Linked DNA regions of Xenopus tropicalis. The protein of the gene in region 4 interacts with the protein of the main gene of each other region in a pairwise test. Links are inferred from orthologs where the notes say so. Each region holds a gene or a part of one and is shown on either strand. Other genes may lie near its edges.

What was found. The genes of interacting proteins can lie anywhere in the genome.
Region 1: the proteins of sgta (region 4) and tmem174.2 interact in binary tests that used the Homo sapiens proteins (3 or more experiments, as listed by UniProt). The two-hybrid records come from large-scale screens. The link is inferred for Xenopus tropicalis from reciprocal best matches to the Homo sapiens genes SGTA and TMEM174.
Region 2: the proteins of sgta (region 4) and nme3 interact in binary tests that used the Homo sapiens proteins (3 or more experiments, as listed by UniProt). The two-hybrid records come from large-scale screens. The link is inferred for Xenopus tropicalis from reciprocal best matches to the Homo sapiens genes SGTA and NME3.
Region 3: the proteins of sgta (region 4) and ferd3l interact in binary tests that used the Homo sapiens proteins (3 or more experiments, as listed by UniProt). The two-hybrid records come from large-scale screens. The link is inferred for Xenopus tropicalis from reciprocal best matches to the Homo sapiens genes SGTA and FERD3L.

The regions. Positions count from the first base shown.
Region 1 is NC_030677.2:183,103,200-183,107,179, forward strand, and holds the start of tmem174.2 (transmembrane protein 174), read left to right. Parts: upstream 1-1,178; 5' UTR 1,179-1,641; coding exon 1,642-2,303; intron 2,304-3,980. UniProt on the Homo sapiens protein: Regulator of plasma phosphate homeostasis. Decreases serum inorganic phosphate (Pi) uptake by regulating the sodium-phosphate cotransporter SLC34A1 trafficking by PTH and FGF23 in the kidney.
Region 2 is NC_030685.2:21,449,949-21,453,936, forward strand, and holds the start of nme3 (nucleoside diphosphate kinase 3 precursor), read left to right. Parts: upstream 1-1,186; 5' UTR 1,187-1,235; coding exon 1,236-1,281; intron 1,282-1,315; exon of another isoform or gene 1,316-1,906; coding exon of another isoform or gene 1,907-2,009; intron 2,010-2,106; coding exon 2,107-2,237; intron 2,238-2,698; coding exon 2,699-2,800; intron 2,801-3,002; coding exon 3,003-3,115; intron 3,116-3,851; coding exon 3,852-3,969; 3' UTR 3,970-3,988. UniProt on the Homo sapiens protein: Catalyzes the phosphorylation of ribonucleosides and deoxyribonucleoside diphosphates, other than ATP, into the corresponding triphosphates with ATP as the major phosphate donor.
Region 3 is NC_030682.2:38,476,584-38,479,675, reverse strand, and holds ferd3l (fer3-like protein), read left to right. Parts: upstream 1-1,341; 5' UTR 1,342-1,795; coding exon of another isoform or gene 1,796-1,798; coding exon 1,799-2,185; 3' UTR 2,186-2,590; downstream 2,591-3,092. UniProt on the Homo sapiens protein: Transcription factor that binds to the E-box and functions as inhibitor of transcription. DNA binding requires dimerization with an E protein. Inhibits transcription activation by ASCL1/MASH1 by sequestering E proteins.
Region 4 is NC_030677.2:99,266,584-99,270,064, reverse strand, and holds the end of sgta (small glutamine-rich tetratricopeptide repeat-containing protein alpha), read right to left. Parts: intron 2,097-3,481; coding exon 1,995-2,096; intron 1,354-1,994; coding exon 1,239-1,353; 3' UTR 516-1,238; downstream 1-515. UniProt on the Homo sapiens protein: Co-chaperone that binds misfolded and hydrophobic patches-containing client proteins in the cytosol. Mediates their targeting to the endoplasmic reticulum but also regulates their sorting to the proteasome when targeting fails.

The DNA.
Region 1 (3,980 bases), about 84 Mb from region 4:
TATCAATATATATTGGACATTGAGGCATTCAGTGCATTAAGCTACTAAGACCTGCCCTTCACCTTCCAGATACAGTCAGGTGATTCCAGTGGAGCCAATGAAAAAGGCAACCATTTGGGAGTTTTAACCTTAAAAGCAAGCAAGTTGCAGGTAAAATGTTTAAAATGTATAATGAAGTAATAGAACTTTTAATAAATCAGATAAAAGTGAGCGTAGGACCGGCCAGACCAGGGATGACTTTAATATAGTTGGCCAGCTTGAATATATTGCAATATATGGACAAACAATCCTTGTTTTGCTTAAAGGGGAGGGCATTGCTTGGTAGCCTTGTGCACTGAATGTCTTAATGTTCAATTTATATGGATAATGGGTGAGTGCAGAGGACCCCTTGTCTCTGCATGTACAACATCTATGTACTATATTGTTCAGCTTGTTCAGCCCCAAATGATCTGAACAATAAAAAAGTATTTGACACAGACAGTTTTTTAGTGTATTGTATTGCAGAAAGTTTTCTTTGGAGAGGTATTCCCCATGGCCAAACTGCTGGAGAGCATATGGAGTTGGCCCATGTATGAATACTTTAAAGGCTCATAAACAAGGTTAGGGGCCACCTCAAAGAACCCATCAAGTATGTCACCAGATAGTCGTTTTCCTTTATGTAAGGAACTGCCTGTTCATTTTCTGGTTCAGCATTTTTGAAGAATTTAATCTTTGTTTTTCCATCAAGACTTTAATTATAGTGCTGTTATTTATGCCAAGAGACAAAGGAGACATTTGACCTAGAACTCAATAAAAGTGTTCGGAAGGATAATGTGAGACTTATCAGAAAATAACATATCTTAGTTTTAATCTCTGTTTTTATGAAATGTCATTGACTCACTAGAACTAAACAATGCACAGGAGCGCCCCCTTCTGGGAAGCTGTAGTGGGAGCGGCTTAGCTCAATAAAATAAAAGGAACTTAATATTTATTTAATTATGATATTATGTACTTTATATGTATTTATTACTTAAATATAGCCAGTTAAGTAAAACCAGAACTTGTAATTATTTTGAGAATGTTTACTTTCCCTTCCACAACTAGATTGACCAAGGATTCCCTTCTTTCTTTTTACAGAATCCCTTCATGCTTTGTCTCTTAGCAGTCTTGGCAATTGGTGGTTGTTGGCAGGAGTGAGAGCTAAAAATGATTACTAAAATGGCTGATAAAGCTATTTATAAGGTGCTAAAAAAGAATAAAGCACCTACTTGTCCTGCAGCTTCTGTAGTGCCCTTGTGAGTCCCACATACAAGATCCACTTCATTAGACCACAAAGAAATAGCCTCTGAGAGGATAGTTTGGGAGCTTTGTCTGTGAGGGTCTGCAGCCATGCTAGACTTTAAGTCTGCACAGTGGGAAGGGACTGTGGCTGTGGGATAAGAGTAAACAAACAAACAAACCACGTTTCCAAGTTGGCAGGTAGCGTCTCTTTTGCAATAAGTATGGTTTGGGAATACAAAGCTGCCATGTCATGCATGTGTATTGTTCTATCTCAGATGCTCAGACCTTTATCCCTTGCTGCTAAAGTCTATTGCTTTATCAGACAAGCCGCAGTGATCATGTGACTGAACAACTGAACTTTTACCTTGGCAAAGGCTCGGAATGCCTTTCCATCCCGTAGCTGGGAACACAAGGCATTCTAGAATGGAACAGAACGACAGACATGATGATGATTTTGCTCCAAATGTTTTTTCAATCTCATCTTATCCAAGCAACCAATCTGATGCCCATGTTTCAAGTGGGGACAAAGGTTGGGGCACCCTGCTGTTCTCTGGAATCTTCCTGGCATTAGTGGGGATTGCTTTAACTGTGCTGGCATGGGTGAACAATAAGCAAACTGGTTTTGACTGGACTCGGTTAGTGGGACCCATTCTGCTGATTGCGGGTGCGATGGCTGTACTGATTTCTGTAGGGAAGTTTATGATGCTGACATCATGTAAGCCATGCAAGAGCACGGAAGAGACGCCATTAGATACTGAGCAGCTTTCAGGAGGACAATCTTTTGTTTTTACTGGAATAAATCAACCCATAACTTTTCATGGTGCTACTGTTGTACAGTATATTCCTCCCCCCTATTCAACTCACGATTTTACAGGAGGTGCAACACCCATATCTTCTAATCCCAATTCTAACCATTCTGCATGGGCTAATGGGACTGCATTAGGTCCCCCTCAGTATTATAACATCTACCCAATGGACAATCCTGCTTTTGTACAAGATGACCCATCCCCAGCTCAACTATCCATGACTGAAGTATATGACAGGTCTGTTTTTCAATTTTATTTTTGCAAATTACCCTCTCAACCTTCTTAAAGAGGTAGTTCACCTTATAATTATCTTTTAGTGTGATGTAGACAGTACTATTCTAAGGCTATTTGCATTTGGTCATGAAATATTTACATTTTTTTCTACAACTTCCAGGTTTGGCATTCAACTTTTATTTAGTTGTTAAGTCTTGATTACCCTACCAACCAGGCAGTAGTTTAGAAGTCAGTTTGGAGATAAACAAAAGAGGTCTTTTATAAGCAACAAAAAAATAGAAATATTATTGAACCCTCAATCTGTTTTAAAATTCTGGGTGAATAAGGCTGAGAGCCAGATAGCATTTTCATTTGCAGGCTGAAAATTGGCAAAAAAGGAACAATAATAATAAAAATATACAATATAAATGAATTGAGGAGGCATACATTGAGAGTCAATGTGCAAGCTATACTGGGATTTGCCTTCTCCTTGATATATGTGAGCCTTTCAGCAGATACAACACAGCTTTTGTATCCCTTAATTAAGATTTAGATATGCCAATTCAGGTATTAAAACCCTTTTTCAGAAACCCATTATCCACAAAGCTCCAAATTATGGAAAGCCCATCTCCCATAAAATCCATTTTAATCAAATAATTCACAATTTAAAAATAATTTCCTTTTCTCAGTAATAATAAAACAGTACCTTATGCTTGATCCCTTATCTGGAAAACCCCAGGTCCCAAGCATTCTGGTACCATACTTGTACTGAGAAAAGCTGGAGAACCATTTGAGAGAGTGAGGGAAGAACATCTGTATGTGCTACCAAAAATAGCATACCAGATACAATGCAGGGGATATTATGCCCCAGCATCTCTTAAATATATTTGTTGGATCAGTCTAACCTGATTCCTTGGCTATCCCATGGCTATAGGGGGATCCTGTATTCATATTTTGGTGGACTTGTTGAGTGACCCTGAGCTTTTGGGAGATGGTGGCAGAGTTGGTCTGCTATTTCCTTCATTGCAGGATCAAAGCTAACCTGAATGCATTCTATTTGGGTCTGAGAACTCTCTCTTTAAAAGTACTAAGCCTCCTTAAACATATCCTTACAGCAGCCACTTGGAAAAAGAGTTCCTTACTGGAAAAGATACTAATAAAGTTGTAGTAATAGCTTTACTATAGTAAGAGATATAGTAAAGCTATAACGTATTGCAGAAATGAAAAGAAGAAGTGATTACCTACTAAATGTTACTGATCCCCACCACAAAATTATTTAACAACCCCTTATCTTTGGGAATAAGACAATTTCATAAACATGTATAGAAACTCATCAGCCAGCCCCCCGCTGAGCTCCCTATTAATTGTAGGCTACCCATCAGTCACAGGGTCTGCTTCCTCTATGGTTATGCCCCAGTGTATGACATACTGTATATGTATCACCCACTGTATGAAAGGAAGTAGGCATCAAAGATTAATATTCCATTTTGTTCCTTGTTTATGCAAAAGGAGGAAGCATGTAAATAAACAGAAAATATTGTGTATTATTTTGGTTCATTTACTGCCATTTTAAGCTGTATTATCCTCCATACCATTAACAATTGGAGGCAAAATGATTTGGATAAAATTCCAGTTCTATCCAATGTAGTTTTATGCTACACAGTAGGCATCCCTCTGCTTCTCCAGCTTTTACATTTTGCC
Region 2 (3,988 bases), on a different chromosome or scaffold from region 4:
GGCAATCTCGCCAAGTAATCAAATCTTAACGTGTATGGGCACCTTACAGAAGCTGTGAGGATGTCGGCCTGCGGGTCCAGCGGGTTTGGGGCCAGCCCACACATCACTACATGCAATAAATAGGAATATACCAGATCCTGGATTTGCCTAAATGCCAGAACTTTTTGCAGGATTTGACCAAATGTATAACTGAATTTAAACGGTACAGTTTTTCGATTACTTTTAAATTCATATATGTAAATATATATTATATGCATAGGTTTGGCTTTGAATACAATTGAATATTTTGTTACCTGAATGCTCTCTATTAATTAAAGAGTACAGTGCCTAATACCTAACACTCTTTGCGGGTCGGTTTAAATAGATATCTCTAAATGGTTAAAAAAGAATCTACATGGCAATGTACCTCAGCCCCTTCAGCTGAGCTCAGATCTTGCTGCCATAGTGTGTGCTCTGATATATACCCATAAATGTGACACAACTGGATTATGCTAAATCCCAGCAGAATGCATGAGGCATCAATATGATCTGCTGACCATCTTCACAATTAAGGGTGAAGAAACACAGAGCTACTAGTAGCAGCTACTTGTCTTGGCTACTAAAATAGACAATGCTGATCTTTTACTGATAATTGTATCTATGTGTGTTTTAGCAGAGGCAATTCTCAGTATTGTCTATGGCAGGGGATTTTCTGGAGTTTAGTTGCCTGTGAAAAAGTAGCTGCTACTAAGTAGCTCTGTGTGTCTTCCCCCTAAATGGAATGTTATAATTTTTTTACCTGTGTAGCAATAACTACTCAGCATCATGTGACACCCTGTATATGTAACAATAAGAATAACAAAACCCCTAACAGCTTTTCGCTCTAAGCTCCCCTTTAAACAAATCCTAGGATTAGCCTGTTACTCCCACACGCTGCCATCATAATCGCATTATGCCGAGCCCATACGGTTAAATGTGAAGACCCAGGCTAATTATTCTTGTATGTTAGTGTACACACTCATGGGGTTCTTTATTTATTATACCGCTGCTCTGTATCAGACAAAGGGAACTCCTCAGGGTATCATATGGATAAGTGGATAAGGCAATGGAGCCGGCTATACAGAGCCAGACACTTCCCAGCATCCCCACAGCCACATGATTGACAAGCCCGGCGCTATCTATGGGCGGCGTGCGCGCTCCCGCTGCTGCTGGCTCTTCCCGCGGGCTCGCTCCCGCCCTTTCTCTCCGCTCTCGCCATGATCTGCTTGGTGCTCACCATCTTCGCCCACATCTTCCCTACAGGTGGGACCCATCGGGGGGTTGGAGTAGATCGATAGCAGGGATCAGGGAAACCCCTGGGGGATCCAGCAAACACTCGGAGCTGATTGTAGTGTGAAACGCGGGAGGCTGAATGGAGAGGGAGCGATCGCTTTTCTGTTCTTACTAGTTAGTTCAACGGAGGCGGGACTACAGCTCCCAGCATGCCCTGCCGGCCCTGGGTTTCGGATCCCTGTTATGGAGTAGCGGAGTGGTGTATCAGTAAATCTGGGGACAAAGGGGCATCTGGTTGCTAGGGGCTGATTACCTTAGCAACCAATAATGTTTTATTTTCTTTCTCTGAACATATGTGCATGGAAATAAGTGCCCTTGGGGGAATGTCACATGGGGATAATTCTTTATTTTGTCAGCAGTTTCCTTATGGAATAGCTGTGCCAACAAAAGTACAACTGCCAGGAGTCGGCTGGATCTGTTGGGCACCATGTTCTGCTTAGCCCTTCTGTACAAGGAAGGGGCATTGGCCAACTGGGCAGCATCTATATACAGACCCCTTTTCATTAGTCCTATGGTTCTCAACTCATATATAGATAGATAGTATATAAATAAACGTGTTATAGATTAACAGGCCCAGACCATAGGTTGGACCTCAATGGTAAGGGGGCTCGTACCAAATCTGAAAAGTGGGAAAACCATCGTATTGGGCAGTATTCAGCATCCAGAGCGCTGCAGTAGTATATGTGCTCCCTCTATTGGTCAGTAAAGGGCATTGCGGCTAAAAGTAACTGCTATTTGTATAGAGGTAATGCATTTCCCTTCTGTGATGCGCTTTCCTTGCTTGGTCTTCTGCAGCCTGGACAGGGATTAATGAGCGCACTTTCCTGGCCATCAAGCCTGATGGGTACCAAAGGCGACTGATTGGCGAGATCATACGCCGCTTTGAGAAAAAGGGATTCCATCTGGTGGCGATGAAGATAATGCAGGTGATATTGTAAAACCCAGTTTCTACTGATGACCGAGATAGACAGACATGTAGAACCTTCTGATTGATATTAGGAGGAGAATATAAAATACTTTTGGGTTCTATGATTACACAGAGCCAGGTCCAGCCTCTCTGAGGATTATGGCACACATAGCAATTCTGGGGAGTCAGAGTGCTCCAAATAGCCTCTCATCATATCTGTCTGTGGGAATCAGGTGAAAACTCCCATGTGATTTTCATTCATCACCTGAATTTGTAAATACGAAGGGTACAGATCTGCAATAAGTAATTGTGACCTGCATTATAGTCAGCATCCTCATTAGGAGCAGTCATATAGTGCCCTTCCTTTACAGAAACAGACTCAGAAGGGTTAAGTGGGATTTAACCATATTAGTGCCAAAGAGCAAATATTCTATGGCTTGAGAAAACTGAGGGGTTATAATTCTGTGTATTTGGATGCAGGCCTCGGAGCAACTGCTCAAGCAGCATTACATTGCTCTGCAGGACAAGCCCTTCTATGACCGTCTAGTGAAGTACATGGGTTCCGGACCAGTGGTTGCTATGGTAAGGATCGCAAGGTTTTCTTATTACCTTAATATACATTTTATATATATATATATATATATATATATATATTCCTCCCACTTCTGTAGCTTTACATCTCTTCTTCCTGCCACACCAGGTTTCTCTCCAACCCTCTCTACTGCCACCTTGTGGTGCTATCAGATGTGCCCTTCCTCTCATACGATTTCCTTTTCCCTCGTAGGTGTGGCAGGGCTTGGATGTGGTTAAGACTGCCCGTCTAATGATTGGGGAGACAAACCCAGCTCACTCTTTGCCAGGCACAATCCGAGGGGATTTCTGTGTAGATGTCGGCAGGTAAGTTCACTGGGTTTGGAGATAGCCGCATTGAGCCACTGTCATTCAATGGACTACTAATAGATGATGCCGTATTAATAAAATGAGCTTCAAGTTTATGGTGTATGCCAGAGCTCCGGGAAGCTTAGGTTACACTAAATTCAAAACAAAAATATCTGTTGAATTATAAAGCAACAAGAAGATAGAGATTAACTATAGTATCTTTGTATCTTTGATTTAGTGTAGAAATGTGTTTGGTGTATTAAATGTAAATTTGAACACAGACTTTTCAGTTAGGTTGAGGGAGTCGTGGGAAGGCTCTGTACAGTACTTTTCCTCCTTGTGGATGGCATGAAGGGGTGGCACTAGGGCATAGCAATAAGGGAAGCAGGTCCACTGGGAAAGTAATGGGGTCCTGGAGCCATTTGTAACATGAGTACCGAGAGTCTCGGCACTACCCCTCCCTGAGCTGCACCACTGCAGACCCTCAGTGGAGTCGTGGATGTGGTGGGCACCAACTCACACTGCTTGATGTTCTCTTCATTGACCGGTTGCTGACCTGGAACATGTGCACCTGAAGCTAGGTCTTCATCATCTTCAACTCTGCATGCTTCTGGCTCGAGATCACTGGGAAGAGAAAATTAAGTGGCATGAGGTGACAGCCGCCAACCCCACCGTGCTACTCTGCTTTTTAGGGTTCTTTGCATCCCTCTTTATTTCCCTACATGCTCATGGGGTTTCTCTGTTTCTCCCTCAGGAACGTTATACACGGCAGTGACTCCAGGGAGAGCGCCCAGCGAGAGATCGCTCTTTGGTTCCAACCCGATGAGCTTGTCTGCTGGCAGGACAGCACAGAGAGCTGGATATATGAATAAGGAGCCGCCCTACCATGTT
Region 3 (3,092 bases), on a different chromosome or scaffold from region 4:
ATGTTCACTCTGCCCTTTGGCAAGATACAGCTGCAACTGGTTTAATTTAAGCATTTTGATTTCCTATATTTTCCTACATTTAGGACACAGAAAGTAATACAAATGTAATTCCACGTATAAAGTATTTTGCCTGATTGCTATTGGGGGTTTTCCATGCAACAATGCATTAAATATATGAGATAAAATCACATCAACATAAAAAGATAAGGACAGTTAGAACAGATGATATGAGCATGTCAAGGCCAATAGGTTAGAACCAGCAAATATTTGTTAATTTTTAATTTCCTGCCCCGTTGGAGCTCACAATCTAAGGTCCCTGTCACACACACACTGGGGTTATTTCATTAGCCATCAGTTAACCTGCCTGAATATTTTGAATTACTTGGAAAAATTCAAGAAATTTCAGCTTCTGATACCCAGCAGCATTTTGTTCGTGTTTTCCTCCTGTCCTTAAAAATGTCACTGCCCTGTATGGTACCAAGGATAAGTGCCTAACATTCGGATTTTTTTTGTCCAGTTAGTCATTACGTTGCTGTGGTTTTTTTTTTTTAATTTCATTCTTAGTCCTATCCACACGCTTCTAATCTAAGGATATACATTGGTGTACAGCTGGCATCCATGCAGCTATGGAACTACAACTCTCAGCAATCTCCAACAGCCAATAATGTTTAAATAACATAGCAACAGCATGGCCATTCCATTCCATACAGTAAACACTATAAACAACATTTTCTTTAATGGATGAAATAGATACATTGTTTTTTAAATGATTAAATAGCTATTTCATGTGAGTGTATAATGTGGCATGCTTATATTTCTGTATATGATGCTGTCAAGTTGTAAATCCCTCATAGACACTGATTTTTAGTTAGCAATGTATCAAAACCTGTGCGGTTATAAGATAAGAAGCGTTTTCTTCTAGCTCCAGTTCTTTTCATTTGGAGTTTCTAATCAAGGCCTCTGAAGAGTAAACCTATACTTAGACGTTTACACACTTCCATTGTAATAACAGCAGTAACAAACTCATCTCTGAAAGTAAAAGAAATGTTTTACTGCACAGTTGGGTCCATATTTGAACTTATTTGCAGGATAAAGCTGGTTCCAACAGTTACAATTGGGAATGCAATATTGGGTACGCTACACTGCTTGCTTAAGCAAATGGAGGTCCTGTCATTCAACTGTCTCTGCACTGGGAAACAGGGTAAACATTTCCTTTTGACCCTTTTCACAATGGTCCCCTCTCCAAAAGATCATAAAGAGCGAGCATAGACTTATCTCATATCCACTAGAAAACTCTTTCTCCAGAGTTCAGTCATTCTTGCAGACAAGGAGCAGCAGCAAGTTCCTGCATGGAATACTCCTGTGCCCATCTACTTTGAAGAATAACTATTTTCTACTTTCTCAGCGGGTGAGGACTGCCAGCTTTACTAAAAAGAAATTCTCTTTCTTCGCTTTAACAGGATTTAAAAACTCAATTGGTTTCCCTCTGGAATGTCCACGTGTCCTATGTTTCTGTGTGTCTGTTCCTATCAACATTACGATGAAACTATTTTTTCGCTGTCTTTTTTTCCTTTTTAATCCTGTTACCTCCTTGGATATAAATGTGAGAGTTGGCACTTGTTGTGCTGTAGGGGCTATTTCCACAAAAGGCTTGACAAGTACGTTTCACTACTCACTAGAAAATTGTGCAACTGCAACAGGTGGAATTCCAAAAAGGTTTATTAGAGTCTGATCTTCTTTTGCTTTTTGATTGATGATCTGATAGATTTCTTTTTACAGAGAGAATCCCCCTGCAATGATGAGTCCAGCTCAAGGTCTGAACCTAGGGGACCGTTTCTATGACTTTCCTTCATTTGGAGACAGAGCCATCTCGTTTCATGAAGATGTCTCTGCCATAACCAGATTTGAAGATGAGGAGACAGAATATGAAGAGGATTTCACACTTTATTCTCCAATGGGCCGCCCCAAAAGAAAACGAGTGATCACATATGCCCAGCGCCAAGCTGCCAACATCAGAGAGAGAAAGCGGATGTTTAACCTCAACGAAGCCTTTGATCTGCTCCGAAAAAAGGTACCAACTTTTGCCTATGAGAAGAGGCTTTCCCGCATAGAAACGTTACGCCTTGCCATAGTGTATATATCCTTCATGACCGAAATGCTGAAAAACTCTGAAAATAAAAAATAGGACATGTGACAATGGCGCCAGTGCCCATGTTTAACATATACATTCAAACAAATACCTGTTTATGGTCCAGCAGTCAAAGTGTGTTCTTCACCTTTCTCTTGGGCCATTCTAGTATAAATAAAATACTCCCATGGGATAGCGTTAATACAAGAAAGGGAGCTGAAAATGAGTTCACAGCCCTATGTACTAATATTGTAAATAAACATAAATGTTTTCAGATTCTACTATTCAACATAAAATGTAAACTAATTTTATTTTTGTGCTTAATATTGTATTTCATTATATTACAATGATGTATTATCTATCTACTTTAGTAGATAAACTATGTAAAAAAATGAGACTTTCTGTGGAATGTATTGATAAAAGTGTATCTTGTATAAAGATTAAATGATAAATTAATTGTAACCAAATTTTAGCATGCGTTACTCATTTTATATGATAATATGAAGTTTACAAATAATAATTAATAATTAAAATAGAGGTATGGGACCTGTTATCCATAATGCTGGGGTTTTTTTGGATAAGGGATCTTTCTGTAATTTGGATCTCCATACCTTGTCTACTAAAAAAATACTTAAACAATTATTAAATCCAATAGGATTGTTTTGTCTGCAGTAGAGATGAATTATATCGTATGTAGGATCAAATGCATTTTTATTATTACAGAGAAAAATCAAATCATTTTTAAAAATATAAATTATCTGCTGATGGAGTCTATGGGAGATGGGATGGGAGAATAACAGGTTTCCAGATAATGGATCCCATACCTGTAATAAGAAAAATATAATTAGCGCCTTGATTAAAAAGAAATGAACTATTTGTAAAAGAAATTAAAATAATGAAATCATATTAAAATAATAGTAGCTGTTTTTCTGAGCATGGTTATTATATTCTTTTTAACATGGTA
Region 4 (3,481 bases):
TAAGTTTGTATTTTATTTCTGCTCACATTTTGGTTTGTCATAACTGCACAACAAAAAGCTTAATTCACAAATAGGAAAAATGAAGACCAACTGCAAATTGCTAACTAGGTAAGCTAAAAGTTATCAAGCAAGGACCAATGTGAATATTTAACAGACTCTGTAAAGCACATTAAGGTTATCATTTACTGGCTAGAAGAATTTAGATATTTTAAAATTTGCCCTTTTTGACACAAAACAACCCCCACCACAAAAAAAACCTTTGTAAATATCTCTCAAGTTAAGGGGCATCACTGATTTATTCAATAATGAGTAAATGAAATGCATGATTTTTACATAATATTGTATATTTTATCTATACTTGGTCATTTTAATATCCCTTTAGCGGTGATCCTGCACAATTCTGTGAGCCATTTCTGCGCATACAGTGTCCATTGCCACAAACGTAAAGGTTAACATGAATTTTGTACGTTAGTGTTTGTAGTCAATTTTAAGAAAGTTACCATAAAGCAGCAATGTTTGGTTAGTTGTTAACAGTGATTCATTCTTTATTAAAACACCTTTATAATACAGTTGGCTGGAGGATTATGTTCTCATTTAGGAGCATTTAAATTACTTAAAACCTGTGAGATCTTTTAATAAGACTTCTGAGACACTGGTAATTGCTTGCAGAGAAGAGAACTCTAAAACTATAAAATGTTAGGAGTGATTTTTCTCTTAAAAGTAAATGCTCATTTTCAGTCATAGACCACAGATCATTTTATTATTGTAATGACAGAACCAGAAGATTGAGTCTCCATCTAACAGGTTTCCTATTTAACTACAGGAAATGTCTCTTGATCCAGTTGTAACCTTCCGGTTATCACATTGATGTTAAAGGTCGCCACACCCAAGACATACACCACTGTTCAAACGAAATGCAGACAGTAATAGCCATGGAGGAGAAGAAAACAACAACATATTGTGGATTTTCTTTTCTTCAACAGGAGCAAAAAGACTAAATGTTCGTACTGGATCAGCCCTTTGTGCTACCCTATGGCAAGTGATGCTTAATGGATCTTTAAAAATGGTAGTAAGGAAGTGGGTAATGAGGTAAGAAAAACGTTTCTTCCAACAAAGTATGCCCAGAGCAACTGTTCGCATAAACCGCCAAGGAAGACAGACCCTATTGTAGTCACTCAAGTACTTTCTGCCCATAATCCAAGAAAGTAATACAATATCCTTCAGCCTGCCAGCACTGCTCATTCTTGTTGCTCATCATGACTTGAACTTGGAGGTCGACTTCGAATCTGACTGCGCAATTGTTCTATCAGCTCTGGATTCTGCTGTTGCATCTGCTGAGCAAACTGTTGTCCTCTAGGAAACAAAAACAACAGAGTGGTTTGGAATTACTTTTATAACCTGCTGAAAAGGTGCAATGTTCTTATTATCTGATAATTATCCTTGCTTTAAAATAAAACACTATGGGGCACATTTACAAATCCACGAATCCGAATCACGAATGGGAAAAAAATCGTATTGGAAACGAAAATTTCAGAAGATCGCAAATATCACGAAAATGCTTACGAAAAAATAGTATTAGTCACGATAATATCGTATTGGCGATCCGAAAGTCACAAAATTTTCGTACCGAACAATTGTAAACAGCTCAGCAGCCATTTGCCTATTAAGTTTGAGCTCCACCTTCAAAGCTAAAACATTTTTAGGTTCCTCCATTGTGGTTCTCCTGCATTTCCAATCAGAAGATTGTTAGGAAATCAACACTTCACTGTTCCTAGGTACATGGTACGCAATGCACATGGGCACTGGTATCCTACAACATGGGGTGGCTTTACATGCATGCACTGTACCCTGGAGGAGAAAGCAGTGGAGGGCTATGCTGACAATCTTAGAAAGTTTAAGTTAGGGTTGTGTCAGTGTTCAGCAGTACAACAACTCCATCTACTATCATAAACTGAACAATGGCCACAAGCTGACAGAATTAACATTAGACATACGCTTGTATAAGACTGGCCAAATCATTTGGAGGAGTGTTTCCTGCAGCTGCAGCTCCAGCCCCAGCCATTGGTGTGTGGCCACCAGAGATCATTCCTGACATTCTGAAAAGCAAAGATAATGAGAACATGTTATTTTCAGGATATTCAGATAAAAAAACTGAATGCTTTTGTTTTACACACAACTACTAAATGTGTGGTTAAATAGAGGATACCAAATACAGGGTTTTCTGTTTATTAAGCCTAAAAGAACATAGGCAAAATGTGATATTGTACAAAGAATGGGTCTTTGTTGATTATGGATTATGATGGAATATAATTATGATAATATTATGATAATCATATTGTGATGTACGTTTCTTTACAAGTGTAATGCTAGGACCTCCTAGCTCTAACTGAACATTTATAAGTTATAATAAAGTCGTGACTTTTGCAAATGGAAAACGACTTAACTGTTTCATAATGGCCCAGGAACCTTTTAAGACACACTGGGGATAATGAGCCTATGATTAAGTACCATCATGATACAAACATGTCAGGCAGTAACTTTTTTTTTTACTCAACTTCCATGGTTGCAGGAGTGCTTGCTCGTATGTGGCTTAAGGCATTGGGGATAATGTACAATTGTACAGATAGTTAACAACTTAAACAAAGTATATCGCAGCTCCACTGCAGATTACCCACTTCATAAGTGTGGGGTTTGTGATTTTTGTAAATTTGCTGTACACCGCCACAGAAACTGTCAGCACTAACCTTTTCTGTGCCCAAGATTTTAGTGTGTGCCCTGCACTGAACTTTTAGTACAATAAATGTGTTTAACACCAAAAATGACAAAGATAAATGGTTACATTGCTAGCTACAGAATGTCACCTAACATTAGTCCATCTGCCCTGTGGGGTCAGTGTGTGCTGGAGTGGAATGACACTTTTCTGTGGAGTCTAAATCAAGAATAACCTACCAACATAACTTCACAATATAGTACCCTATATGCATACCTTAACCTCCCTTAATTTAATTCTGAAAACAAAATGAGACCCAAAAACAATTATTCTAAATCTATACATGGTATACAATACCCCTTAAAGGAGAAGGAAAGTTACAATCACTGGGGGGAAGTAATGTGCCAAAATGTTAGGCACCCCCAGTGATTGTAATCGCTTACCTGAAACCCCTGGCCAGTGCCCCTGTTAGGAGAAAACTGCACCAGCCGGGGTGTATGCGACCAAACAATCCTCTTCTTCGGTCTTTGTGTATACGCAGTGCAGTGGAAAGTCGGCCTTTTGCTCAACTGCACATGCGCGGACCCTGGGATCTTATCAAAAGGAGAAGGAAGGAAGAGGATCACTCTCCTGCATTAACTCCTGGCCAGTGCTCCTGTTGGGAGAAAACTGAACTGCCCAGAGGTTACTGCAGGCAAGTGATCCTCTTTCTTTCTTCTCCCTTTTTAGGTAAGTTATTACAATCAATGGGAGTACCTAACGTTTGGAACC